Linked DNA regions of Macaca fascicularis. The protein of the gene in region 4 interacts with the protein of the main gene of each other region in a biochemical or structural test. Links are inferred from orthologs where the notes say so. Each region holds a gene or a part of one and is shown on either strand. Other genes may lie near its edges. The genes, in order: ADRB1, FRMPD4, RPS6KA1, DLG4, RALBP1, PKP4 and TANC1.

Region 1 (4,151 bases), on a different chromosome or scaffold from region 4:
CAGGTTAACAACTCACTAATTTCAAAGCGATTCATTTGCCAACTCAAAAAGCACAGATACAACTTTAAATGCTTTCGGATTTTAATCCTCTGGAGTATTTATATGTTTTCTTGTCTTATCCCTCCAAAACTAATGTCAGAGTTTTGAGAATCTGGGAACTTGGGCAAAGGAGAAAACAAGCACGCAGACCAAGGAATCTGAAATCGCAGTTCATGACGTCAGCATAAACCGACAGTACCTTTTTGTTTGTATTGACCCAGCTCAAATTATAAAATCACATGAGTAATAAAACACAAAATACAGGTGTTGTCACTGAAAAGCCTAAAATGTAACTAAACGCGTTTTCCCCCCTCGCGGTGGTATCATTTACTCTGTATCTCAACGTTTCTGTCTCCCTAAGACTCTCCCTTTATATCGTGAGCACACATTTTTGCATCATGCTCACACATTCATTAGCTAGGACTGAGGAGTGTGTACGATTCCAGCGGGCCCTCAGCGTTAGCTGTTAGATGCACAAACCTTCACTTCCTTTCCACATCTACTGCACTTGAGGTTCAACAGAGGATCCTTGCAAGAACAGCGCCCAGAGAGCATTCTTGACAGATGCGCGCTTAGCTCCAGCAACCCGCTCTGCTGGGAAGTTTCTTCTAACCACTAACACCCACCTCCAATCCCCCAAGCTGTCACGACGCAGGCTGGCTGGGTCCCGTCTTGACGGGGGAAGGGTTTTACACACATCCTGCTAGGCTGCCCCACATCACAACCAAGCTCGCAGGGCAAACTCCTCCAAGCCTGGCGGACAAGCTGTCCCAGGCGCTCTGGCGCTTCCTGAACACCAAGGTCCCCTCCGCGCTCAAGGGAGCTAGCGCACTGTTACGCAGGGAACCCCGGCACTGCAGGTCGAGGGGATGCCGAGGGAGCGGGGGCGCAGCAGGCAGCCGACTGCTGTAGGCAAACGGCGCGCAGGAGGCAAACGAGGCGCAGGAGCCGGTGCGAGAGCGAGTGGGCGCTGAGAGAGGGGGCGGGGCCCCAGGGGGGAGGCGAGCGCGGGAGGGGGCACGGGAGAACAGGGACCAGGAACCAGCGGGCGCAGGAAGGGGTGCGTCCGCAAGAACCCGCGGGCGCACGGGAGGCACTAGCTCCACGATCAGCTCGGGACTCTCAGGAGCCGCTCAATTGCCAACGGGAGGGGAGTGCGGGGAGTTGGAGGTTGGGGGGGCTGACCAGACGGGGGCGTGCCTTTGCCCGGATTGGCTGCAGGAGGCTGACGCGAGGCCCCGGGGGTTGGCTTGGGGAGTGGGAGCGGGGTGGGGTGGGTGCTGGGTGCCGGAGCTGCGGGCCCGGCGCGCTCAGAAACATGCTGAGGTCCCGGCGGCTCTTCCAGCAGCGGCAGCGGCTCCAGCAGCAGCGGCGGCGGCGGCGGCGGCGGCAGCGACAGCGCTCGGCTCCGGCGGGAAAGGCGCCCGGCGCCCATGCCTCCGGCCCCGGGCCGCGGCTGCCCTGACCCGGCCGCGACCTCCCTCTGCGCACCCCGCCGTCCAGGCTTCTGGGGTGTTCCCCAACCAAGGCCCAGCCCTGCCACACCCCCCGCCTCCGGCCTCCGCAACTCGGCATGGGCGCGGGGGCGCTCGTCCTGGGCGCCTCCGAGCCCGGTAACCTGTCGTCGGCCGCACCGCTCCCCGACGGCGTGGCCACCGCGGCGCGGCTGCTGGTGCCCGCGTCGCCGCCCGCCTCGTTGCTGCCTCCCGCCAGCGAAGGCCCCGAGCCGCTGTCGCAGCAGTGGACGGCGGGCATGGGTCTGCTGATGGCGCTCATCGTGCTGCTCATCGTGGCGGGCAACGTGCTGGTGATCGTGGCCATCGCCAAGACGCCGCGGCTGCAGACGCTCACCAACCTCTTCATCATGTCCCTGGCCAGCGCCGACCTGGTCATGGGGCTGCTGGTGGTGCCGTTCGGGGCCACCATCGTGGTGTGGGGCCGCTGGGAGTACGGCTCCTTCTTCTGCGAGCTGTGGACCTCGGTGGACGTGCTGTGCGTGACGGCCAGCATCGAGACCCTGTGTGTCATCGCCCTGGACCGCTACCTCGCCATCACCTCGCCCTTCCGCTACCAGAGCCTGCTGACGCGCGCGCGGGCGCGGGGCCTCGTGTGCACCGTGTGGGCCATCTCAGCCCTGGTGTCCTTCCTGCCCATCCTCATGCATTGGTGGCGGGCGGAGAGCGACGAGGCGCGCCGCTGCTACAACGACCCCAAGTGCTGCGATTTCGTCACCAACCGGGCCTACGCCATCGCCTCGTCCGTGGTCTCCTTCTACGTGCCCCTGTGCATCATGGCCTTCGTGTACCTGCGGGTGTTCCGCGAGGCCCAGAAGCAGGTGAAGAAGATCGACAGCTGCGAGCGCCGTTTCCTCGGCGGCCCCGCGCGGCCGCCCTCGCCCTCGCCCTCGCCCTCGCCCTCGCCGGTCCCCGCGCCGCCGCCCGGACCCCCGCGCCCCGCCGCCGCCGCTGCCACCACCGCCCCGCTGGTCAACGGACGTGCGGGTAAGCGGCGGCCCTCGCGCCTCGTGGCCCTGCGCGAGCAGAAGGCGCTCAAGACGCTGGGCATCATCATGGGCGTGTTCACGCTCTGTTGGCTGCCCTTCTTCCTGGCCAACGTGGTGAAGGCCTTCCACCGCGAGCTGGTGCCCGACCGCCTCTTCGTCTTCTTCAACTGGCTGGGCTACGCCAACTCGGCCTTCAACCCCATCATCTACTGCCGCAGCCCCGACTTCCGCAACGCCTTCCAGCGACTGCTCTGCTGCGCGCGCAGGGCTGCCCGCCGGCGCCACGCGGCCCACGGAGACCGGCCGCGCGCCTCGGGCTGTCTGGCCCGGCCCGGACCCCCGCCGTCGCCCGGGGCCGCCTCGGACGACGACGACGACGATGTCGTCGGGGCCACGCAGCCCGCGCGCCTGCTGGAGCCCTGGGCCGGCTGCAACGGCGGGGCGGCGGCGGACAGCGACTCGAGCCTGGACGAGCCGTGCCGCCCCGGATTCGCCTCGGAGTCCAAGGTGTAGGGCCCGGCGCCGGGCGAGGACGCCGGGCACCCGGGGAGGAGGAGAGCCCGGGCGCCCCGGAACGACTTCCCGGGGGAACGAGGAGATCTGTGTTTACTCAAGACCGAAAGCAGGTGAACTCGAAGCCCACAATCCTCGTCTGAATCATCCGAGGCAAACAGAAAAGCCACGGACCATTGCACAAAAAGGAAAGTTTGGGGAGGGATGGGAGAGTGGCTTGCTGATGTTCCTTGGTTTTTTTTCTTTCTTTCTTCCTTTTTTTTTTTTTTTTTTTTTTCTGTTTGTGGTCCGGCCTTCTTTTGTATGTGCGTGTGATGCATCTTTAGATTTTTTTTCCCCCACGTTGGTTTTTGACACTCTCTGCGAGGACCGGAGTGGAAGTTGGGTGGGTTACGGGAAGGAAGAAGCATTAGGAGGGGATTAAAATCGATCAGCGTGGCTCCTATCCCTTTCCCAGGAACAGGAGCAGTCTACCAGCCAGAGGGAGGAGAATGACAGTTTGTCAAGACGTATTTTCTTTTGCTTTCCAGATAAATTTCATTTTAATTTCTAAGTAATGAGTTCTGCTGTCATGAAAGCAAAGAGAAAGGATGGAGGCAAAAAAAAAAAAATTCACGTTTCAAGAAATGTTAAGCTCTTCTTGGAACAAGCCCCACCTTGCTTTCCTTGTGTAGGGCAAACCGGCCGTCCCCCGCGCGCCTGGGTGGTCAGGCTGAGGGATTTCTACCTCACACTGTGCGTTTGCACAGCAGATAGAACGACTTGTTTATATTAAACAGCTTATTTATGTATCAATATTAGTTGGAAGGACCAGGCGCAGAGCCTCTCTCTGTGACATGTGACTCTGTCAATTGAAGACAGGACATTAGAGAGAGAGAAACAGTTCAGATTACTGCACATGTGGATAAAAACAAAAACAACAAAAAAAAGGAGTGGTTCAAAATGCCATTTTTGCACAGTGTTAGGAATTACAAAGTCCACAGGAGATGTTACTTGCACAAAAAGAAATTAAATATTTTTTAAAGGGGGAGGGGCTGGGCAGATCTTAAAAACTAAAATAAAATTCAAACTCTACTTCTGTTGTCTAGTATGTTAT
Region 2 (3,500 bases), on a different chromosome or scaffold from region 4:
TCTTTTACATATATGCAATACACATAATGTGTTCTGCACACAGTCAGGATACAATATGCATATAAAACAAACAAACATTCCCCCACATATTATCTTGGGCAGTAGTATATTTAACACAATGATTATGATGATAATAATAGCTAACATTAATTGAATACTTACTCTCTGCCAGGTATTGTGGTAAGAACTTTACATACATACTCAAAAATCATGACAACCCTATGGAAATCAATCTTATAATTGACTTTATTTTATTATGAGGAAATTGAGACTAGAAAAAGTAGCTTTCCCAACACGAAAGGGCTAGAAAATGGCAGAGTCAAAATTTAAATAAGATGTTTCTGACCCCAAACCCCATATCCGTAACAACTCATCCATATTGCCTCCAGAGAGAATAGTGTCCAAACCAGCAGATTGTTGTGATGATTAAATGAGATAATATAGTTAATATGCTTAGCACACTGTCTGACATAGGGCACACATCCTATTAATAAGTTAGGATTTTAGTACACAGAATGATATTTACTAAGATTTTCCACAGTAAACACCACTAATATCTCTCAATATCAAAACACCAATATTTATAATTATAATTGTAATGAAATAATGTTTTATTATTTAGTTAAACATTATTTATAATAACACACGCCTAAACTCCTTTCCTTCGCTGCCATCCATAACCACGTGTGGCTTTTGTTGTTGAGTCCCTGTGGAATGGCTGACTAGAGAGAGATTGCAATTGTGGACTGTGTTATGCCTCCTTCTCAGTAGGCTACAAAAGTAGAAATATTTGCACCTGGTGTACTCCCGTCGTATTCTTAAGGAGCCACCTGTCTAAGTAGGAGTGCATGTAACTTGAGCACTGAATGACCCAGGAAATATATATATATAATATCGATTTTATTTTATGACTGCAGGGTACTTTTAGAGATGTGACAGTCCTGGAAAGTTCTTTGCATTCCATTGGTTTCACTTGAACTGGTCAAATATACCACTTCCATTTCTTTCTTTTTTTTTTCAGATTTCATATTTTTATCAGCCAATCCAGATTAAGTATTTATTTAATAAATACTTAACTATTTACTCATGGTTCCCATGGTTACAGTAGCCATTTCTCCCTGATTTTCTGGAACACCCAAGATTTGAGATTTTGTCCCAGTACTACACTGTAATTCCAAATTTGATTGGCAGCCTTAGCCTCTGTAGAGGCGGTGATGCATGAAGCCCTATGTTGAGAGCTGTGATCTGAGATGAGACTCACAGGTGCTGGTGTGTGGTCTGGTCTACATCACTGAATCAATACTTAATTTTGATGATCATTAAATGTTCCCTTTTGTAAGTTTGCAAATACTTTACTAAATGTCCCATCATTCTAAAGGGAATTTTAAGTTTCATAGTTGAGTTGCGGTGAGGGGAAGATAATGTCTTTGGTTTGTAGATTTTTGACATTTAGTCAAAGCAGATCTTTCCATCAAATAATTAATTTTGGCATTATTAATTCCATACATTTTATGTAATGAGATATTCTATAACTCTAGGTATTACCTAGGAAACTGCCCATCATCCCCTCTGTTCTTCTCCCTGGGAAGTTTTTTAAATGCTAGAAACACTGTGAAGAGCATTTGTGCTGACACAGTAGAATCCACCCCCACCAATTTGTAGCCCAAATAGCAAAAACCCAAATTAAATATGTGGGATTCTTGGAAGAAAGCATCCAGTAACCAAATACTATGAGCAAAAAATTAATTTATTACAGATATAGTCTCTAGTAATTCATAATAGCTTCTTGAATTTTAAATGTCTTTTTGCTATTTCCAATGCTTAAAAATCATAATTTTAAAACATTAGTACTGTTTTATATACATTGTGATTTCTTTTCTTTTCTCTCTCTTTTTTTGTTTTTTTGTTTTACTTCTAAATATGAATGATGTGATCTCCAAGTATCTACTTGGAAAGAAAGGGGATAGGATTCATTGTTTTGCTCTAACATGGTAGAATTTAAAATTTCACATCATATACCTGGAGTTTTAACTATATGAAAAATAGCCAAATGTCATCACTTTCTTGGATATTTCTTTTACGTGTATATATATGTATAATATAAACAGAATACATCTGATTAGTACATTTCAACATTTCATCAATGTGACTTTTATCTCCTATTTTATATAAAATAACAAAATATACAGAGAGAAGAAAGGAGACATCTGTTCATCATACACACAAAGTAAATAAAAGTTCATGTATGGCTTCGTAAAGGTAGATTATGACGTGACTTCCATATTTATTTGTTTAAAAGCCTCTTGAGAGAACGTGTCAGTGTGCTTACGAGAGCGGCCATGGTGGTTGAGTGTCGCACCGAGAATCCAACATTAGGGTCCCCAGGGTTCTTTCCAGTGGCTGCTTCGGCAGCTTTCAGTAGACAAATGTAATTTATGACCACTTCATCGATCTTCCCTACAATTTCCTGCCGCTGTGTTTCTGAGTTCACGACTTTAACTAATCGCATGCAAGCTTCTGTTAGGCAACAGAGCACTTGAAAGCTGGAAGTCATAGCTAGGAGCATCTCCTCCGGGCTTTTCTCAGCCATCGCCATTTTCCTACAGGCACTTCCCAACTGTCTGGACTCAATGGACAACAGTTGCTTGTACTGAGAAAGTGTAAGGTCGTATGCTTCAGGGCGTGACTCCTCTTTCTTCTCCTTTGTTGCCCTGACGAGACAGAGCAGCTCATTGGCATCATTTTGGGCTGCAAGGAACCCATCAGGCATTGCATATGTGCTCTCCTTTAGGGCATTTATTCTTGCAATCCGGGCATCAAAAGCCAGGTTGCTGAAGTCCAAGTCATCTGGGCCTCGCAGGTCTTCTGCCCAGACCTTCAGCACTGACCCTCTGGATAGCTCCCCTCCTTGCTTCTGAATTGCCACAGCCAGACATGGGCTGCTTGGTTCTGGCGTGGCTTGAGTCATCTGTGGTCTATAGAGGCAAGCGACCTGGACGGTGGCCTCTCCTCTCTCCTCCTCTTCCTCACCATCTTCATCCTGCCCTCGGTTCAGGAAGCAATAGCTGAAGGGTCCCCGGCATCTCCAATTGCTGCCCTCCAGCTTCCGCAAGGGTAATGTCCTATACAGCTTTGAGTCTTTATGAGCCACTGGGGACCTTTTGTGAAACCTCCCCTCGGAGCTCAAGTGCATCGAGCTTTGGGAAAAACTTTTGGTGAGCTTCCTCCCCAGGGGGAGTTCTGCTCGCCTTTCAGAACTGGCCTCCTGTGCTTCTGTGATGCCTGGACACTTTAAGCTGACTGCACCCTTGGTTCTCTCTCGGAAGGTCTCCAAATCGACAGATCCGGAGAGGACACTGCTGCTATGTCTCAGAGCCTTCTGGCTGGGGGGTGTCCTGAGGCTTCCCCCTCTCAGATCCGGTGGCCGCCAGCTCACAGCCTCTCCATATGCCTGATTTGCTTGGGAGAAATCATTAGGGTCTTGATTTGGAATTGGCACC
Region 3 (3,500 bases), on a different chromosome or scaffold from region 4:
TATTACCCTGTCCCTGCCTCAGATTCCCCTTCTAATGAGACTCTCCTCTGGGTTAAACATTATACCTTCCTTTTTCATCCATAGGGGCCTGTGGGTGGGAACCCTGAAGTCTTTGGGAAGTGAATTAGTGGATGGCTTGTATAGACCGAGCTGGGAACTAAACCTGGACAGGGGCCGGGGGAGATGGGGCCTCTGGGGCAGGGCTTGGCCTTGATGAGTCCCGGGGGCTGTTTCAGGGCGAAGCTAGGCATGCCCCAGTTTCTGAGCACCGAAGCCCAGAGCCTCTTGCGGGCCCTGTTCAAGCGGAATCCTGCCAACCGGCTCGGTAAGCAGCCCCAGCTCAGGGGAGGGGATGTGGCGATGGGGAGCCGGGTACAGCTGCAGCCTAGGCCACAGGGCCACATCTGGGCTGAAAGGGGCCGTTGTGCTTTGTGTGGGCAGACAATGCTGCGGGCCACCCTGCCTTCTGGCTCCATGTGTGGTGTTGTGGAGGGGGGAGCTGACCTGTGTGTAGGGGGAAGGCAGGAACTGAGTCATCCCTACTCCCTCTGGGGACAAGGACAGAGGCCCCTACACAGCTTCTCCGCCAAGGCTGCTGGCACAAGAGAAAGAGCATGAGCTCAGGAGTCAGAAGGCACAGGTCCCAATCCCGGCTCTGTGTCAGGTCCCCACTGCCTGGCACGAAACAGTCCCTGTATAAATATTTGTTAAATGAATGAGGCCACTTATGAACTAAGTAACCCCGGGCAGGTGACTTCACCTCTCTACACCCAGGTTCCTCGTCTCAATGGGAGATGATGATCCCAAGCTTGCTTCAGGGCTCTGTTGATGAAATGAGGTTGCGTGAACATGCCGGCATGTAGTAGGTGTCCAGTGTGTGCTGGCTTCCCTGGCTCCTGGGTTCATCTGGTCCATGACCAGCTGTGTAAGGTCCAGTCCAGGCCCCTGGGGTTGAATGGAGTGACAACCTGTTCTATGGTTGAAAATGTCAATAGGATAAGAGGAACAGAGATGAGGCTTGCGTTGGAATGAGGTGGGGCTCTCTGTAGGTCTCAGAGCAAGCTCAGCTTCTGTTCTGACTGTGTGGCCTTGGAGAAGTTGCCTAAAGTCTCTGGGCCTTCCTCCTCCCACTAGTACATTGGAACTTCTTCATCAGAAGCTCCAGAAAGTGGAAAATGCTGAGTAGGTGACAGGCCTTAGGGTGATGGCTGGGTAGATTTGAGGCAGAGTGAGCCCATTTTCCCCTCTGCTCCAGCAGCTGGTCCCAGAGCCCTGTGAGGCTGCTTGGTGGGCAGGGTGGCGTCTGGGGGTTGCGCCACCCAGGCTCAGACCCTTCATTTGGGCTCTTTCAGGCTCTGGCCCTGATGGGGCAGAGGAAATCAAGCGGCATGTCTTCTACTCCACCATTGACTGGAATGTGAGTGTGTCCACCCACGCCAGGGCTCCGGCCATCTTGGCCACAGGAAGGGTGGTGGGAGGGGAGCCTCTGCTAGCAAGGGCCCCAGACGCAGGAGCAGAGGGTCATAGCCTGCCCTTGAAGACAAGGGCTGGCCTCCTGAGGGCAAGCAATTATGCTGTTGTCTGCTGGGCAACATGGCCTATGTTCCAAGCCCAGCACCTCCTCCAGCATGGGGCTCCTGGTGGGCTGTTGAGGGTGCTGTGGTGACCAGGGTGCCCATCCCACTGTGCAGAAGCTATACCGTCGTGAGATCAAGCCACCCTTCAAGCCAGCAGTGGCTCAGCCTGATGACACCTTCTACTTTGACACTGAGTTCACGTCCCGCACACCCAATGGTGCGTCTCTTATCTGTTTTGTCTGTCTTGGGCTGGTACAGGAGAGAAGCCAGGAGTCGGTGGCAGCTTGCGGGGCAGAGATAGTCAGGGACACTGACAGGCCGAGGTGTGTGGATGGGCAGGCGGGTGAGTTTCTGGCTCCGTGGGACTCTGACTTTCGCCCTGTCTCACTCTGCCTGACTCTCTCACTCTGGGGTTCTGTGGGTCTCTTTGTGTCTGGTGAGAGAGTAGGAGTCGGGGTGTGTGGGTGGTGAAGGCCACAGTAGAAAAGTCAGGACCCCTGCCAGGGGCACCTTCCAGCCCACTGGGAAGACCAAACACATCAGGCTTACCATCACGTCAGGGAGAAGGAATCTGACCCAGCCACACTGTGTGGTGGCTGAGCAGAGGTGACAGTGCCCATAGATCAGGGACAGGCATGGGAATCAGCTTTGGCTGCCCTGACTACCGGGCCTCCGTGTACTTACCTGGAACAAGGGCACAGCCACAAACCCACTCATTTCCTGGGGTTGCTGCAAAGAGCCAGTGAAGGAGCTTCTGGGAAGGAGCTGGGTGAATCCTAACTTTTTGGCCAGATATTGACAGTGGGTGTGGGGTGGAATGTTCTGGGAGGCCTCCTATAAGGGCATGTTTTAGGAGAGGGAGTACTTTTCTTTTTTTTTCTTTTCTTTTCTTTTCTTTTTCCTTTTCTTTTGTTTCTTTTCGAGATGGAGTCTCGCTCCGTTGCCCAGGCTGGAGTGCAGTAGCGCCATATCGGCTCACTGCAACCTCCACCTCCTGGGTTCAAGCGATTCCCCTGCCTCAGCCTCCTCAGTAGCTGGGATTACAGGCATGTGCCAGCACGCCTGGCTAATTTTTGTTTGTTTGTTTGTTTGTTTGTTTGTTTTTGAGACGAAGTCTCACTCTGCCGCCCAGGCTGAAGTGCAGTGGCCGGATCTCGGCTCACTGCAAGCTCCACCTCCTGGGTTTACGCCATTCTCCTGCCCCAGCCTCCCTGGTAGCTGGGACTACAGGCGCCCGCCACCTCGCCCGGCTAGTTTTTTGTATTTTTTTTTTTAGTAGAGACGGGGTTTCACCATGTTAGCCAGGATGGTCTCGATCTCCTGACCTTGTGATCTGCCCGTCTCGGCCTCCCAAAGTGCTGGGATTACAGGCTTGAGCCACCGCGCCCGGCCAATTTTTGTATTTTTAGTAGAGACGGAGTTTCACCATGTTGGCCAAGCTGGTCTGGAACTCCTAACCTCAAATGATCCACGATGGGGTGCTTTTCTCACTGTACTTGCACACCTCTGATGACAGGGACAGCAGTTCTCTAAGCAGTCTGCTGGGCAGTGTGACAGGTGCAGCTTTGTAGGAGTCAGGGGCCAGAGAAGCAGCATGAGGCAAGGCTTCTCAGAGGAGGGAGCGAGTGAGCTGAGTCCTGAAGGATAGGCAAGCAATGGATTATCTAGTTAAAGGGAACAGTGTGTGCAAGGGCTCAGAGACCCCTTTAAGGATCTGGGAAGTCCAACGTGGCTCAGCTGTGGTGTGGAGAGAGAAGAGGAGGATCACAAGGCCCTCCATTGCCAGACTGAGAAGCTGGGCTTACTCCTGAAGGCAGAGGGGCACCTTTGAAAGGTGCGGGCAGGGTGGCAGATTTGTGGTTGGAACCTTCCCTTTGGCTACTGTGCAGGGATGGACCTGAAGGGGCTGATGTAAGACGGAGA
Region 4 (3,500 bases):
TGGCGGGTGCCTGTAATCCCAGCTACTCGGTAGGCTGGGGCAGCGGAAACACTTGAACCTAGGAGGCAGAGGTTGCAGTGAGCCGAGATCGCACCACTGCACTCCAGCCTGGGCAACAAGAGCAAAACTCCATTTCAAAAACAAAATAAAAATTAAAATTAAATTTAAAAATAAGTTAATGGACACACTGCTAAAATTGTATCATTATAAAATGTTCATTACCGGTTCCTGATAACTAGTCTTCACCATCCTAAGGAAAATTCCTCTGTTCCTAGTTTACTAAAAGCTTTCATCCAAAAGAGATGGTGAATTTCACCAAATGCCTTTCTCACGTCTATTTGAGATGATCGTATCGTTTTCTCCTCTCGCTCTGTCACCAGTCTGGTGGGCAGTGGCACAATCATTGGCTCACTGTAGCTTCCAACTTCTCGGCTCAAGTGATCCTCCAGCCTCAGCCTCCCAAGTAGCAAGGAGTATAGGTGTGTGCTAATTTTTTTTATTTTTTGTAGAGACAGGATCTCGCTATGTTGCCTAGGCTGGTCTCAAATCCCTAGCTGGTCTCAAATCCTCCTACCTTGGCCTCCCAAGTGCTGGGATTACAAGCATGAACCACCACACTTGGCCTCCCTTAACATTTTAATATATGAATCATACTGAGAGATTTCCTAATGTTGAGCCATCTTTAGTTTTCTGAAACAAATCCTATGTTATTTCCTTAACATGCTGCCATGTTTGGTTTGCTACTATATTATTATAAAGTCTTGTATCTCTATTCAGAAGCAAAACAGGTCTATACTCTCCTTATTTTACGTTATCCTTGTGACCATTTGAACTGACCTTATAAAATGAAATGTGAAATCTTTTATCTTTCCTATACTCTGGAAGAGCAGAAGAATTATCTATTCCTTGAGAATTTCATAAAATTAGCCATAAAACCAAACAGGTTTTGTGCCTTCCATGGGAGAGATCATTGACGATCTTTTCTAGTTCTTTTATGGTAATTGATTTTCCATCTCTTCTCTGACAACAGCAAGGATCAGAGGTTGTGGCTATTTCTTTTTTTTTTTTTTTTTTTTTTTTGAGACGGAGTCTGGCTCTGTCGCCCGGGCTGGAGTGCAGTGGCCGGATCTCAGCTCACTGCAAGCTCCGCCTCCCGGGTTTACGCCATTCTCCTGCCTCAGCCTCCCGAGTAACTGGGACTACAGGCGCCCGCCACCTCGCCCGGCTAGTTTTTTGTATTTTTTAGTAGAGACGGGGTTTCACCGTGTTAGCCAGGATGGTCTCGATCTCCTGACCTCGTGATCCGCCCGTCTCGGTTGTGGCTATTTCATTGGGAATATCTGAAGAGGGACAGCTACAGGGATGTCATGGGACTGCATGTCATGGGTTAAACGGGATGGGTCATGGGGAGCTTTGGTGTTTGAAGGGCTCTCACAGGTTGTGATGTCTGGGGGAGCATAGCTGTCACTCAGGTAGGCATTGCTGGGCTTGGCCACCTTTAGGTAGACAACATCATACGTGTTCTTCAGGGCTGCCACAGCATCTTCATGCATGACATCCTCTAGCCCCACACTGTTGACCTGGAGTCAAGGAAAGCAAAGCTCAGACAAAGCCACAAATGGCCCAAGACAGATGGACTGGGATGAAGTGATGAACTTGCGCCTGCCAGGGCTAGTAGGTGAGACCCAGATTTGGGCTAGAAAATGGACTAGATGGGGTCCTCACCGCCAGGATCTTGTCTCCAATCTGCAACCTCCCATCCTTGTGGGCAGCACCCCCTTCGATGATCTTTGTTACATAGATGCTATTATCTCCTGGGATGTGCTGGTTCCCTACGCCCCCTGCGATGCTGAAGCCAAGACCTGGATGGAGGGGAGGCCAGAGGTGGGTGCCCAGGTGCCCAGGAAGCAGGCTTGGGGGCACAGGACAGTTGGGATGGGGGAACAAAATGAGTTACTACCTTTAGGCCCCTTGATGAGCTTGATCTCCATGACCTTCTCAGCTGGGGGCTTCCGGCGCATGACATAGAGGCGAACGATGGAGCCTGCCTCTTTGAGGGCCTCCACCGCTGCCGAGTGGGTCACCTCGCGCACGTCCACTTCATTTACAAACAGGATGCTGTCGTTGACCCTGGGAGCAGCAAGGTGGGCCTGAGCCAAGAGCTTCCTGCTGCCCTGGCCCTCCCTCTCCAGGGACCAAGCATCCTAACCCCTGTATCCTCTCCTCACCTGAGGCGGCCATCCTGGGCCGCAGCCCCACCAGGAATGATCTTGGTGATGAAAATGGACGGGTCGTCACCGATGTGTGGGTTGTCAGTGCCACCTGCGATGCTGAAGCCCAGACCTGAGTTACCCTGGGCGAAGGAGGGGAAGAGGGTCAGCTCCCCTCACTGCCCAAGTCTGGCAAGGCAAGTGGGGTGGGAAATGGCTTGGAGCAGCCAGAGCAGGAAGGGATAGGGTGAGGGGCTGGCCACGCAGACCACATGGGCAGAAAGAAAGGTACAGATGGGGGGGCAAGGGGACTGCCAATGGAGGAGCCTGCTCACCCTTTCCAATGTGATTTCCTCGTATTCCATCTCCCCCTCGGTCCCGTTCACCTGCAACTCCAGCACGGGACAGAAACACAAAAGCAGTGAGACAGACATTCCTGCCTCACAACCTGCCCGTCATCTGCTTCCCTCCCTTACTCCCTCCTTCCTTCTGCAATGGCCCTAGCCCCAAAATCTAAACAACTCACATATCCTGGGGCTTCTAGGGTATCTGTGTTGACAATCACAGGGGGAGAATTGGCCTGTTTGGGGAAACAAGAGACAAAAAGCCACCTGAGCCTTGACTCGAGAGGGAGCCCGTAACGGAGGGTCCCATCAGCGTGGCTACCCTTTCAGCCTCTTAGCCAAGCCCACTCTGCCACGCTGAGAGCTGCTCAAGGGCCCAGTCTCACTCCACATCACACACACACGCACACGCGTGCACATGCGCACGCACACACACACGCACAGATGCACAAGCACATGGATCTAACTCTGCCCAGCCCGGGGCCCCCTGCATGTGGAAGGAGGTGTAGGAGAAGCGGGAAGGGAGACAGCCAGACGGAGAGGGGAGCAGCAGATGGCAAAGAGTGGGGAGAGGGGGGTAGGCTTGGGGGAAGGGAGCTTCTCACCGGATGTAACACCACAGGGTGTTACATGCCTTATGTGCTACACATGGACAACCCAGGGATCATGTCCACCGGGTCCTGGTACCCACTTCCTGCCCCATCCCCCCCCATCCCCCCATAACTACCCGGATATTATCATAATCCTCCCCTAGACTTGTCCCTCACCTTCACACACATTTGCCCTAAACCCTGCACCCCGGGAATCCGGGGTTCCCCCAGCTGCAGACCCCTCCCTTGGTCTCACCAACCAGACGTCCAATCCACCCCTTCCTCTAGGGACCGTGTTGCCTAGCAACGGTATCTAGGACCAGCCAAGACCCGGGGAGACCCACCTCCAGGAGGCC
Region 5 (3,565 bases), on a different chromosome or scaffold from region 4:
ACAGATACTTTAATTGTGGAATTTTTAAAGCAAAAAAAAGCAATGGAAACTTCATTTTTATTCTAGACCAGTCTATCCCAGACATGCTAATTATGGTTGGCTGTGCTGAGTCCTCATTTACCGTGTGAAATGCAAATGTCTGTAAATGGCAATGCCTGGGGCCAAGCCAGGCCAGCGGACTTGTATGCAGTTCCCACCGGGGCCAGGAGCTGCTCAGTCCGCAGACCCAACCCAGTCCGCTGGGTTTTGCAAACACACATAGGCTCCCTCTGCAGCAGCGTGGGCTCGTGGAAGGGAGGTGCGCCGCAGCCAGCATGCATGCCAGGGGTCCGGGGTTCTCCCCGTGTCTGCAGAGGTGAGGGGTACAGCTCAAAGAGGTGAGCTGAAAACAAAACACTGTGTCCCCCCTTGGCCTTGAAGAAGTGCCTCAGCCACCTCCTCACCAGCGGCAGAGTACTCAATCTCCTCACAGAAAGAATGGATACAAAAACACTAGAAGCTTTTCTTTTTCCCAAATGGCTGTTGCATTTATTTGCTTGATCAATAATGGTCCTGGCAAAAATTAGTTAACCAATGCTGAGACATTTGTAATGAAATACTAATTTTAAAAATCCATGACACCTTGATAGAAATTAGAGTTTACACAAACAAAAAAGGAACCTTCGATATTGCCAGCAGCTACAAAGTGAATGTACTGAGACCGACAGGACAGCAAGAAGGCATTTGCACATTTATATCTGACACCCGACCATACTTTCAGTCACCAGAATATCTTCTCTCCAGATTTAAAAAAATAGTATGCTGATTTCTATAACAAAGCTTTTTTCCGTACAAAAATCAAATAATGGCCAACGAGTCACAACAGTGCAATAGGTAGAGGATTAAAAACTGCATCAAACAGGTGCTGAAAATAAATACTACCTAGGAGGAGGAGAGAGCCCTCGTGTGGGGTTTGTTTTCGTCCCCTTGAGTGTGTGTGGGGTTTGTCTTCCGAGCCACGAGCCTGGCCTGTCTCACGGTGCTATTCACTCTGACAGAGTGCACCTGCAGCACGTGCCTCCAGGGCCCAGCCTCCCAGAAGCCTCAGAGCATCAGAGCATCCGTCTCATGTCTCATTGGATGGACCAGAGACAAGAAAATAGGGTGGGGCGAATCACAGTTACCATTCAAAGGAAAGGAATTTTTTTCTATTGCTCAATCTTGTCAATTGGGAGTCAGTCCACCAGTAGGTTCACTGAGACGATATGGATAATTTCAAACTTTTGTTTAAGAGCATATATATGGCTTATTCAGGCAAGGAGACGTGTACATTCTAGCCCAAGCAAGCAATCAGAGTCATTCAGTTTTTAAGGAAGGTCAGTCGTTTAAAAGATTTCTGGTTTGAGCAACATCCTCTGTGGATGCACCAGGCCAAGGTGACTACCTTTGACCAACCCAGTGAGAAGGCCTTTGCTGGTCCCCGCAGTGAGGAACCCGCGGGAACGGGCGGCCTCCTCCCCGCAGGCCTGCGCTGCCCAGGGCAGGTGGGCGGGCTCCACAGGCAGCCCGTCTGTGGCCAGATAGGCCGTCCTGGTGACTCGGGCTTATGGACTGCGGTTTACAACTGCAGGAGACAGTTAGGAGGGTGGACCAGGGAACACCCACCAGGCGCTGCTCTGACCAGTCAGAGAACGTGAGGCAGCTCCCCCATAGGGATCTGCACCGAGAAGGTGTGGAAGGCACAAGCAAGAGTGACGGTACCAGAGATCCCGGAGGGCGTGGCTCGCGGCGGCCACAGCAGGCGCAGCGCTGACCTGGTGTGGTTCCCCCCTTGAATGAGAAAGAGATCCTGATTCTGCTGTGATAAAAAAGCAAAGAAAGACGATTTTTGGTTTAAAAAGAAGCCACTCAAGGGTTAAAATAGTTATTTTAAGTTAACAAAAAAAATTAATCTTCAAATAAGCTGACACTATCTGGAAAACTCATCTGTCCCTAAAGCCCACAATGTGTCCACTGCTTCGTCCTCCCATGGAACCTGAGCCTGACGCGAAGGAGTCAGACGTGTGACAGAGGAAGAGTCTGAGAAGAGAAGACACCTTTACAGAATGTACAGCGGGAGAGCCGGCCTGGCCCCCGGGTTACAGTAAGATGCACGGGTCCTTTCAGTCTCGCGGACTCCAGACGGCCGCGCAGGCTGCTCAGATGGACGTCTCCTTCCTGTCCCTGCTGGGCGATGGCTTCGCCGGCTCCTTGCCTGCCTTTGGCTGCTCTTTAGCTGCTTTCGGCTCGAGGACGCCGTCTCTGGGCGGCTGGACGGCACCCCCGCGCCACTCAGGCTCCTGGTCCTCCTGTGCCTGCTGCTCGGCCTTGGCCCGCTGCATCTGGAGCAGCCGCAGCTGCACTCGCAGCTCGATGATCGCCTCGCGCTCCTCATGAATTGCTTGATTCAAATGATTGTTCTTTATCTTGGGGAATGACAGAAAGGGCAGTTACCACTTAAGGAAGTCAGAGGACGATTTCTCAGGAGCAGAGCGCAGTTAGCAAGGGCGTCCTACAGAGGAACCTGGTTTTAAGTCAGTGGGTTGTGAAACAGAAGACACACACAGGGAGAATGCACAGTGCACAGTGAGGGCCACGTGACTCCTCAGAATGTGAGGCTGGAAACCTCGCTCCTGGTTACTGGAGGGAGACACATCCATGTGCCAACCGAAACCCGTCATTTTAATAATTCAGTGTCCTAGTGTTTAAAATAGACAACTCATAACTTCGAACTGGCTTCTGAACAGCCCTTGAGAAAATAAAAGTAATTTTAGCAGCAATTAGAAAGGGGAGTTAGAGATCAGATAAAAAACTAGATTTGTTTCAAAGGTGAATATCCTTTGTCTTTTGTGAATGGCATTACTGTAATTCTGAAATGTCCTACTCAATCAAACTATAGAAAATTACTATCAATTCTAAATCATCTGGACATACTCGGCAGAGTTTAGGTACCGCGGAATAGCAGCGGCCCTGCCCGCCATGGCCTCCACTCTGTGGCGGGTGCCAGCTTCCCTTGCTTGGGTGTGGCATGGACTAGGCTCTGCAAAAGGGGCGTAGACATAAGCACAAGCACCGAGTGCCACGCGTGCACCCTGTCCTTGGCCACTGGGCATGCCTTCTCCCTTCCCTGCTAACTTAGTCCACCCCGCGTGGAAAAAACTGGTGTGGAGGATGATGGGCTGGACCACCTGCCACACAAGAGACACCATCTTGTTTAGACCACTATGTTATTCTCTTTATTACAGCAATTCAGCCTACACTCCAAGTACAATACTTCTGGATTCTGTTTTCCTACTCAGAGTCAGTGGCTGTGTGTGGAATTCTGCTTTTCTATGCAGGGGGTAGTTCTGGTTCGCACCAGCCACTGAGCCAACCCAAATGAGGGACACAGAGCTGTCCCTCTGTCCTTAGATTCCTTTCTATGAAAAGGATGTCTTCTCTCAATCCTTAGGCAAAATATCTGGACACAATCTTTTATTTGGGGTAAGAAGGGAAATTGTGATCTAGACCTTTCTCTCTGCCGCCTTCTCTTCACTGTGCAGCCTCT
Region 6 (3,500 bases), on a different chromosome or scaffold from region 4:
ATGATTCCTACATCATTTTGCTGCATACTTTTCAGAGGCATTGCAAAAAATATCTAAGCCAAACATACTTCTTGGATGGATGAATGAATAAGAGGTGGTTTCTCCACTAAGAATTTCTCTGAGCTCAAAAATTAAGTTCAATATAAATTCTCCAGGCAAAATTATTCAATCAGAAAAATCTCAAAAGGCTTAAACTTTCCTAGAAGCCATAAAAAGATACTAATTTTACTATGTAAAAATGTTAAACAGTTTTGTATATTAAAACTAAAATGAAATAAAAAGACAAGTGACAAAATGGAAAAAATACTTGAGAAGCATATTATGAGGTGCTAACTTATCTCTAGCAAAAAAAAGCTTTCACAAATTATAAAAATAGACAAAAGACTTGAACTTATAGTTTAACAAAACAAAATAAAGCTGTTGATGAACATATGAAATCTTCAACCTCAGTCATAACTCAATAAAAGCCCTTTAAAAAAATGAGGTACAGCTTTTTACCTATCAGATTGGCAAATATGAAAAACTTGGAATATGCAGCACTAGTGCAGTGTAGACAAGGTATAGAGAAACAGGCACTCAAACTACTGGCAGAAACATAAATCCATGTGTAACCTTCTTAGAAGACAATTCTAAGTAATATCTCTCAAAGTAAAAATACACACATATTTTGATGCAGCAATTCTACTGGATCCCAGTTACCCTAGTACTTATGTGAAATATGCAGGTAGAACAATGTATACTATACTATATCATCTCTAATAGCTAAACATAACAAACAACCTAAATGTCCATTAGTAGGAAAAGGACAAATAAATTGATACTATCTATAAAAAATGAGTCCCATGCATCTATTAAGAATGAAGTAGAGCTCTTAAGACACAGTAAGTGAAAAGAACAAAGTATAGGAGATCTATATGACAGAATTCCATCAGTAGAAAACACAATGTGTGTGCAGATTTGCATGGTGTGTATCTGTAAATGCAAAGAAACATTCTGAAAGTCACATCAACTGTGATGGGACTGGGTGAGGGTAAAAGGCTTTCACTCATTTCAGTATTTTCCGGTATAGTTTTAATTTTTACCATTCGGTATATGTTACTTTTAAAATATAATTTAAAACACTACAGTTAAATTGCATTTTATTTAAAATAACCAAATCTTTACATCATGTGGGAAACCCTCCATGAAAAACCCTGAAGTTGGAACAGCTGTATTAGGGATCCGGTGTCTTACTGCTTTAATAGGAGTGGCATGTAAAGGTAATTTATAAGTGCTTTGTGCACTTTCCATTAAAAGGCCAAAGTCAAGTAGGCGATAAAATTCATATTCTAGTCTATACTACCGAAGTATTTCTAAAGAAAAAATTTAAATATTTAAACAGATATTCTGATACCACCTTTTAACATAACGCTAGGGTATGTTTAGGGGTAGGCCTGGCTGGTAAAAAATATTTCATTAAAAAAAAGTTAGTCAACTGCTTAGAATTCCAACTAATACTTCTGAAATGCAAAAAAATGTACATTTTAAACCCTAATATTTTGAGGGGGAAATATTACAAAAGAGTTGTATCCATTGTAAAATGATTCTATTGATATAAATGTATATAATTTCATGTATTAAGAATTACAGAGCCTGAAAGACAAGTTAACCTTAAGTTCATAGTTTAAATTCTGAGATTAAAAACATGAATGAGCCCTTTCCACCTTTTCATTCTTTGTTTCAGCTTTAGTTACACAGAAGATTTCCTCACTGGGTTTTATGTAGCACTGTCACCTTGTACGCACCTGTCAGGCTGTCTGGCCTGGGTGGAACCATCCTCTCATAAATGTCATACTGCTGCTGTCCGAATTGCTCCATGTCATGAACAGTCCTTTGCAGTGAAGGTCCCAGATGCTGTGGTACGGCAGTCATCCCTGAGCGTTTGGGGGACGACGACCCCACCTGGCCTTGGGATGGGGAAGCTACTCGAGTCTGTGCATCCGTCAGGGTCAGTGGGGACCCCACTCTGGCGGTGGTTTGGTATTGAGGGGTTGGTCCGTTGGGATTGGAGGTCTGCCGGGAGGTGACTGACCCAATCCGCCGTATAGCTGTTGGGGAGGCGGGTCTCTGTGAGTACGGAGAGGCTGCCCGCACAGCAGGTAATGTGGTGGAGGAATATGCACTGGGGTTCAGAGGTCGGGGGTCGGTCACTGACGGAGAGCCAAATCCACTACCCAGAGAAGTTCTCAGTGACCCCCTTGAAGGAGACACGCCTGTGCTGATAACATAAGAAGGAGACTGTGCTCTAGATGGAACTGAACTAACTCTTCTCATGGCCCGATTGGCTACTGATGGCTGATGAAAGGGGGGAAAAAAGAGAATGGGTTTATCCAGGGTTTTGTGTTCATTGCCATTACAAAAGAAATACACATAGCTCACTACAGAACGTGAATCCACTATTTATTTTAGGCGTCTAAGTTTCTTTTCCTTTTTACGCTTTGAGCCAGACATTAATTTTTCCTCATGGTGCTTCAGTTGTTTTACTTTTTTTTTTTTTTGGTGGTTTAAACCAAATGCTAAAATTAACCCATAAAAAGAGATCTGAAGACATTTAATACTCCTTTTTATCTTTACATTTTTAACTATTGCCCATGCGTTGTTCACAGCACATAAAATGTTTTATTCTAAGTGTTACAAGTAATTCATGAGCGTGAAGGGGCACCGGAACAATGTACTTACTTCACTCCCTGTGAGGCAAAGTTTGGCCAAGGCAATACATTTATGTAAAACAAAATTCTGAATATAATTTGAATATATCAGTCTAAATGTAGCTAGTGGAATATTTATCATTGTTTTTCTTTATGGGTTGGTCCCATTAACAAAAGGAACATGTTCTTTCATTGTGGAATAAATGAACATTTGGATCAAGTGTGGGTCTGGCGCTCTCCACTGTGAATTTACTTCGGGGAACAGCTTGGCTACACAGGTGCTCTAGGCAAATTTGTTGATTCCTTTAGATCAAGCATAGCTTCTCCTCACTTTAGCCATTTCTTTTTACCTCTTCCAATCTATGAGTTCTTAGCTTTAGTTGGTGGATTTAAAGAGATGTGAAAAAAAAAAGGCACCCCCAAATCTATTCCAGCAGGAGGAATGGTCAAAGCCTCTGTTGGGTTCTTGGCCTAGCCAGCTGGAAAAGACTAGGTTGGAAAATGAACATTTCTGCCATGGCTGATCCTACTATGAATCTGTTGATTCCTGCAATTACAGCAGGTGCTGGACACTGTTTTTGATGCTGTGCAACAATAAAAAGGAATGGTTGGGCTGGAGAAGGGGCCCAAGGGGAACAGGTATGGGAAAAAGGAGAGCCAACTGAGAAATAAAAACAGACATTAGGGCTCCAGGTTAGAAGCTCAGGACCAGGCTGCTCTGTTACCTCCGTAGTGGTTGCTAGAGTCTAGTTGTCATCACTTTTAGGATGACAACCCACAACCACTTTTAGTTCGGGAAGTAAGGAAAGAAGT
Region 7 (3,500 bases), on a different chromosome or scaffold from region 4:
CATGAGATGTCCAGTACCACAGTCTTGCACGGCGTTTCACAAAAGCAGCTTTGCTTTTTTTTCCATGACCCAACAGTGGGTCATGAAATCTATTTATTTAGTTATTTACTTTTATTTTTTATTTTTTTGAGATGAAGTCTTGCTCTGTTGCTTGGGTTGGAGTGCAGCTGCACAATCTTGGCTCACTGCAACCTTCGTCTCCTGGGTTCAAGCGATTCTCCTGCCTCAGCTTCCCTAGTAGCTGGGATTACAGGTGCCCGGCACCACGCCCAGCTAATTTTTGTATTTTTAGTAGAGACGAGGTTTCAATATGTTGGCCAGGCTGGTCTCGAACTCCTGACCACTGGAGTGATCTGTACGCCTCAGCTTCCCAAAGTGCTGGGATTACAGGCATGAAATCAATTTAGAGCCATAATTTTTTAAAAATAAACTCAGGAATACTAGAGTATATTATAGAATATAAGAATAAATATAGTTCTAAAATGCTTTAGTTATGTGGGCGATTATGTGTGAGTGATCACTAGTGTTAGATGTCTCTCTTATGTGGGTCACAGTCAATGGAGTTTGAAAATCACTGTAAGCAGGGATGGCTTTGAAGCCTGCACTACATCACTCATCTCAAATTACCCACCCATGACCAGAGGACTGTTCTGAACCAGTGGTCAGAAGCATCAGGGCTGACAGTCCCAAGAGCAGTCATCATCCAGGAAGGAGAAGGGACAGGGATCTGGTGCAGAACAGGATTCTGTTCAGCTGCTCTCACCAACCTCCCCGCAGGGCCTCCTCACAATGTGTCCCCATGGCTGCTGGCTCCAGCAGCTCTCCAGCTCCACTGACTCACACCACCACTGGCCAGGGAAACTTAAGCAGCCCACTAGAAGCAAGGGAAGTAACTGCTTTAATGCAGGAGTGCGGCTGGTGAGCCAGTGATGGGTGCTGAGCAGAAGAAAAACTTCAGAAAGATCTTGATGATCATGAATTTAAGAAGGGAAAGCCAGCCAAGGAAGACTGTATTACAAGTTCACGAGAAACCTCAGTCACAAAGCCGAGGGAACCCAAGGTCTCAGGCAGTAGAGTGCAGGGGAAGAGGTCTGGGTCAAGTCAGAAGCTCCCAATTTCCTGCTCACATACCAAATTAAGAAGAGCACATGGAGGTAAGCATGGATTTGTGGCGAGTGCACATGCTACCTTCTGCTGCCTTGAGGAACTCTCAACCCATTGTTTAACATGGATCAAGTCCACTGCCAATGTCTTAAGACAGATACTGTCATTCATACTTTTACTTGGATAATTTAATCACTATTTCATCAAAAGCTATACTTTATCATTAAGCAGTTGTCTCTGTTTTAAGCTCCCCTTTCCAATTTACTTCTCAGAGACCAAACTAGCAAATCTCTCTATCTGGAAGGCTCCCATAAAACAAGAGAGCTTACCTTAGAAGCAAGATATTTCACTGCATCCTCTCTTGGTCTCTGGTTTTCAGCACTGACAGACCCAAGAGGTGTTTTAGCTGTGCTGGAAGCACTTGTGGAAGAACTCGGTGAAAGCAGCGGGGTGAAAGGAAGATCCTGAGTGGGGTCAGAAGCTGCAGAGAAAGACCCATTTCATTATGTACATCATAGTAGGAGCAGGGTGGGGTGTTGACTATATTTCTTGATTCGCCCCAGGGCATATCTTAATAAGTAAGGAGTGAACATGCTCCAAAATTCAGAGGTCCACATGACAGCACAGGTTCGCCTCCCTGGAGAACAGCCATCTACTGTTTCCAGCTTCCTCTATTAAATTTTTTTTTTTTAGACGGAGTCTTGCTCTGGTGCCCAGGCTGGAGTACAGTGGCACCATCTTGGCTCACTGCAACTTCAACCTCTCGGGTTCAAGTGATTCTCGTGCCTCAGCCTCCCGAATAGCTGGGATTACAGGTGCCCACCACCACGCCCAGATAACTTTTGTATTTTTAGTAGAGATAGGGTTTTACCACATTGGTCGGGCTGGTCTTGATCTCCTGACCTTAGGCGATCCAGCCACCTCAGCCTCCCAAAGTGCTGGGATTACAGGCATGAGCCACCGTCCCTGGCATTTAAAAATTTTTTTTGATACAGGCTCTCACTGTGTCGTCCAGGCTACAGTGCAGTGGCACAATCCCAGCTCACTGCAGTCTCGATTTACTGGGCTCAAGCGATCCTCCCACCTCAGCCTCCTGAGTAGCTGGGACAAAAGGCGTGCACCACTATGACTGGCTAGTTTTTTGTAGAGACGAGGTCTCCCTATGTTGCCCAGGCTGCTCTCAAACTCCTGGGCTCAAGCAATCCTCCCACCTCGGCCTTCCAAAGTGTTGGTATTACAGATATGAGCCACTGTGCCTGACCTATTAAATTCTTTTGGGTCTTAAAAATCTCGCATGATTCACTTGTTCACCATGTTTAGAGTGAGTTTATTGCATATGAAATAAAAAGTAAATAGTCAAACATTTGGCTACTCTGTCCTATGTCTTTATAATTTTGGAAAATCCAATACAGAAGACGAAGGCTGTGCCAAACAGGTTCTAATGTGCCAAAAGAACTCCACATTAGACTCCATCTGAGCTTGTTCTGCCAGGAGCCCAACTCCTTGCTCTCAGGGCCCCAAACTGTCCAGAGCACTTGATCAGGCCTCACTGGCCCAACTCTGCCTGTATCTAAAGGAAGAAGGGGTTACAGTTCAGGAGGACATCAGGGAACACTGGCCTCGCCCCAGCTTATAGCTGAATACACATCATGACAGAGGGACGTATTCAAATAGTTTACTTCACACGATTGCAAACCTATATAGTAGCTGCAACAACTTGAAGAAAATTGGTATTTTATGTCTAAGTGAACAGCAATTTCCTCCATCTCTCTTATGTTAATAAACTACACATGTAATTAAACACACACATACTTTTAGGTGATGAACTCAGGCTGTTGGAAGCAATCTGCCTCATGCGGCTTCCGTGGCAGCTCAGGGCCACCAACTTGGAAATGATTGCTGTCTTCCCAAACCCCACATTGCCAACCACCACCGCGCCTCTGTTTTCTGCCAGTTCTGTGTTCCTCAGGTTTTCCTCTATCTGGTGAAAGAGCCAATCCCGTCCCACAAACACAGAGTCTGTTGTTATGCTTGGTACTTCAAACAACAAGGGTTTCAACAAAATGTCTTGTGGCTTGTAGGGAGCAAATCGTGCTTCAAAAGAAAAAAAGAAACATTATTTTAGAAAAATGTCATAATTTTATAAACTAAGAAACTCAAATATCATTGCTTATGTGTTACATTAAATCCTTAGCTTTACCCCCACTAGGATCTGTCTGTAAGCATTTCCAATCTGGTTCTGTTAATACTTCTGTAATACCTCAATTATCATACCCTGTTGGACCAACAGGACACTACAGAGTCTCCTATTGAAATTACTTTCTAGTCTGGTCATGGCTTTGAGTTATTCTCAGGACTCAAGGACAAAGAGGATTACAGAAAGCCATGTAAGGGGC

Evidence for each region.
Region 1: the proteins of DLG4 (region 4) and ADRB1 form a complex in vitro, tested with the Homo sapiens proteins (2 studies listed by BioGRID and IntAct, with this or other methods). The link is inferred for Macaca fascicularis from reciprocal best matches to the Homo sapiens genes DLG4 and ADRB1.
Region 2: the proteins of DLG4 (region 4) and FRMPD4 interact in a biophysical measurement, tested with the Homo sapiens proteins (2 studies listed by IntAct, with this or other methods). The link is inferred for Macaca fascicularis from reciprocal best matches to the Homo sapiens genes DLG4 and FRMPD4.
Region 3: the proteins of DLG4 (region 4) and RPS6KA1 interact in a test that uses a peptide from one of them, tested with the Homo sapiens proteins (2 studies listed by BioGRID and IntAct). The link is inferred for Macaca fascicularis from reciprocal best matches to the Homo sapiens genes DLG4 and RPS6KA1.
Region 5: the proteins of DLG4 (region 4) and RALBP1 interact in a biophysical measurement, tested with the Homo sapiens proteins (2 studies listed by IntAct, with this or other methods). The link is inferred for Macaca fascicularis from reciprocal best matches to the Homo sapiens genes DLG4 and RALBP1.
Region 6: the proteins of DLG4 (region 4) and PKP4 interact in a test that uses a peptide from one of them, tested with the Homo sapiens proteins (2 studies listed by IntAct, with this or other methods). The link is inferred for Macaca fascicularis from reciprocal best matches to the Homo sapiens genes DLG4 and PKP4.
Region 7: the proteins of DLG4 (region 4) and TANC1 interact in a test that uses a peptide from one of them, tested with the Homo sapiens proteins (2 studies listed by IntAct, with this or other methods). The link is inferred for Macaca fascicularis from reciprocal best matches to the Homo sapiens genes DLG4 and TANC1.

Annotation. Positions count from the first base shown.
Region 1 is NC_088383.1:123,086,498-123,090,648, forward strand, and holds the start of ADRB1 (beta-1 adrenergic receptor), read left to right. Parts: upstream 1-1,351; 5' UTR 1,352-1,612; coding exon 1,613-3,055; 3' UTR 3,056-4,151. UniProt on the Homo sapiens protein: Beta-adrenergic receptors mediate the catecholamine-induced activation of adenylate cyclase through the action of G proteins. This receptor binds epinephrine and norepinephrine with approximately equal affinity.
Region 2 is NC_088395.1:12,495,204-12,498,703, reverse strand, and holds part of FRMPD4 (FERM and PDZ domain-containing protein 4), read right to left. Parts: coding exon 2,285-3,500; 3' UTR 1-2,284. UniProt on the Homo sapiens protein: Positive regulator of dendritic spine morphogenesis and density. Required for the maintenance of excitatory synaptic transmission. Binds phosphatidylinositol 4,5-bisphosphate.
Region 3 is NC_088375.1:208,557,260-208,560,759, reverse strand, and holds part of RPS6KA1 (ribosomal protein S6 kinase alpha-1), read left to right. Parts: intron 1-236; coding exon 237-325; intron 326-1,352; coding exon 1,353-1,417; intron 1,418-1,691; coding exon 1,692-1,794; intron 1,795-3,500. UniProt on the Homo sapiens protein: Serine/threonine-protein kinase that acts downstream of ERK (MAPK1/ERK2 and MAPK3/ERK1) signaling and mediates mitogenic and stress-induced activation of the transcription factors CREB1, ETV1/ER81 and NR4A1/NUR77, regulates translation through RPS6 and EIF4B phosphorylation, and mediates cellular proliferation, survival, and differentiation by modulating mTOR signaling and repressing pro-apoptotic function of BAD and DAPK1.
Region 4 is NC_088390.1:7,250,563-7,254,062, forward strand, and holds part of DLG4 (disks large homolog 4), read right to left. Parts: exon of another isoform or gene 3,489-3,500; intron 2,791-3,488; coding exon 2,736-2,790; intron 2,605-2,735; coding exon 2,546-2,604; intron 2,354-2,545; coding exon 2,229-2,353; intron 2,131-2,228; coding exon 1,961-2,130; intron 1,863-1,960; coding exon 1,726-1,862; intron 1,581-1,725; coding exon 1,436-1,580; intron 1-1,435. UniProt on the Homo sapiens protein: Postsynaptic scaffolding protein that plays a critical role in synaptogenesis and synaptic plasticity by providing a platform for the postsynaptic clustering of crucial synaptic proteins.
Region 5 is NC_088392.1:77,888,096-77,891,660, reverse strand, and holds the end of RALBP1 (ralA-binding protein 1), read right to left. Parts: intron 2,445-3,565; coding exon 2,178-2,444; 3' UTR 501-2,177; downstream 1-500. UniProt on the Homo sapiens protein: Multifunctional protein that functions as a downstream effector of RALA and RALB. As a GTPase-activating protein/GAP can inactivate CDC42 and RAC1 by stimulating their GTPase activity.
Region 6 is NC_088386.1:54,096,581-54,100,080, reverse strand, and holds part of PKP4 (plakophilin-4), read right to left. Parts: intron 2,335-3,500; coding exon 1,785-2,334; intron 1-1,784. UniProt on the Homo sapiens protein: Plays a role as a regulator of Rho activity during cytokinesis. May play a role in junctional plaques.
Region 7 is NC_088386.1:54,603,185-54,606,684, reverse strand, and holds part of TANC1 (protein TANC1), read right to left. Parts: intron 3,199-3,500; coding exon 2,917-3,198; intron 1,586-2,916; coding exon 1,434-1,585; intron 1-1,433. UniProt on the Homo sapiens protein: May be a scaffold component in the postsynaptic density.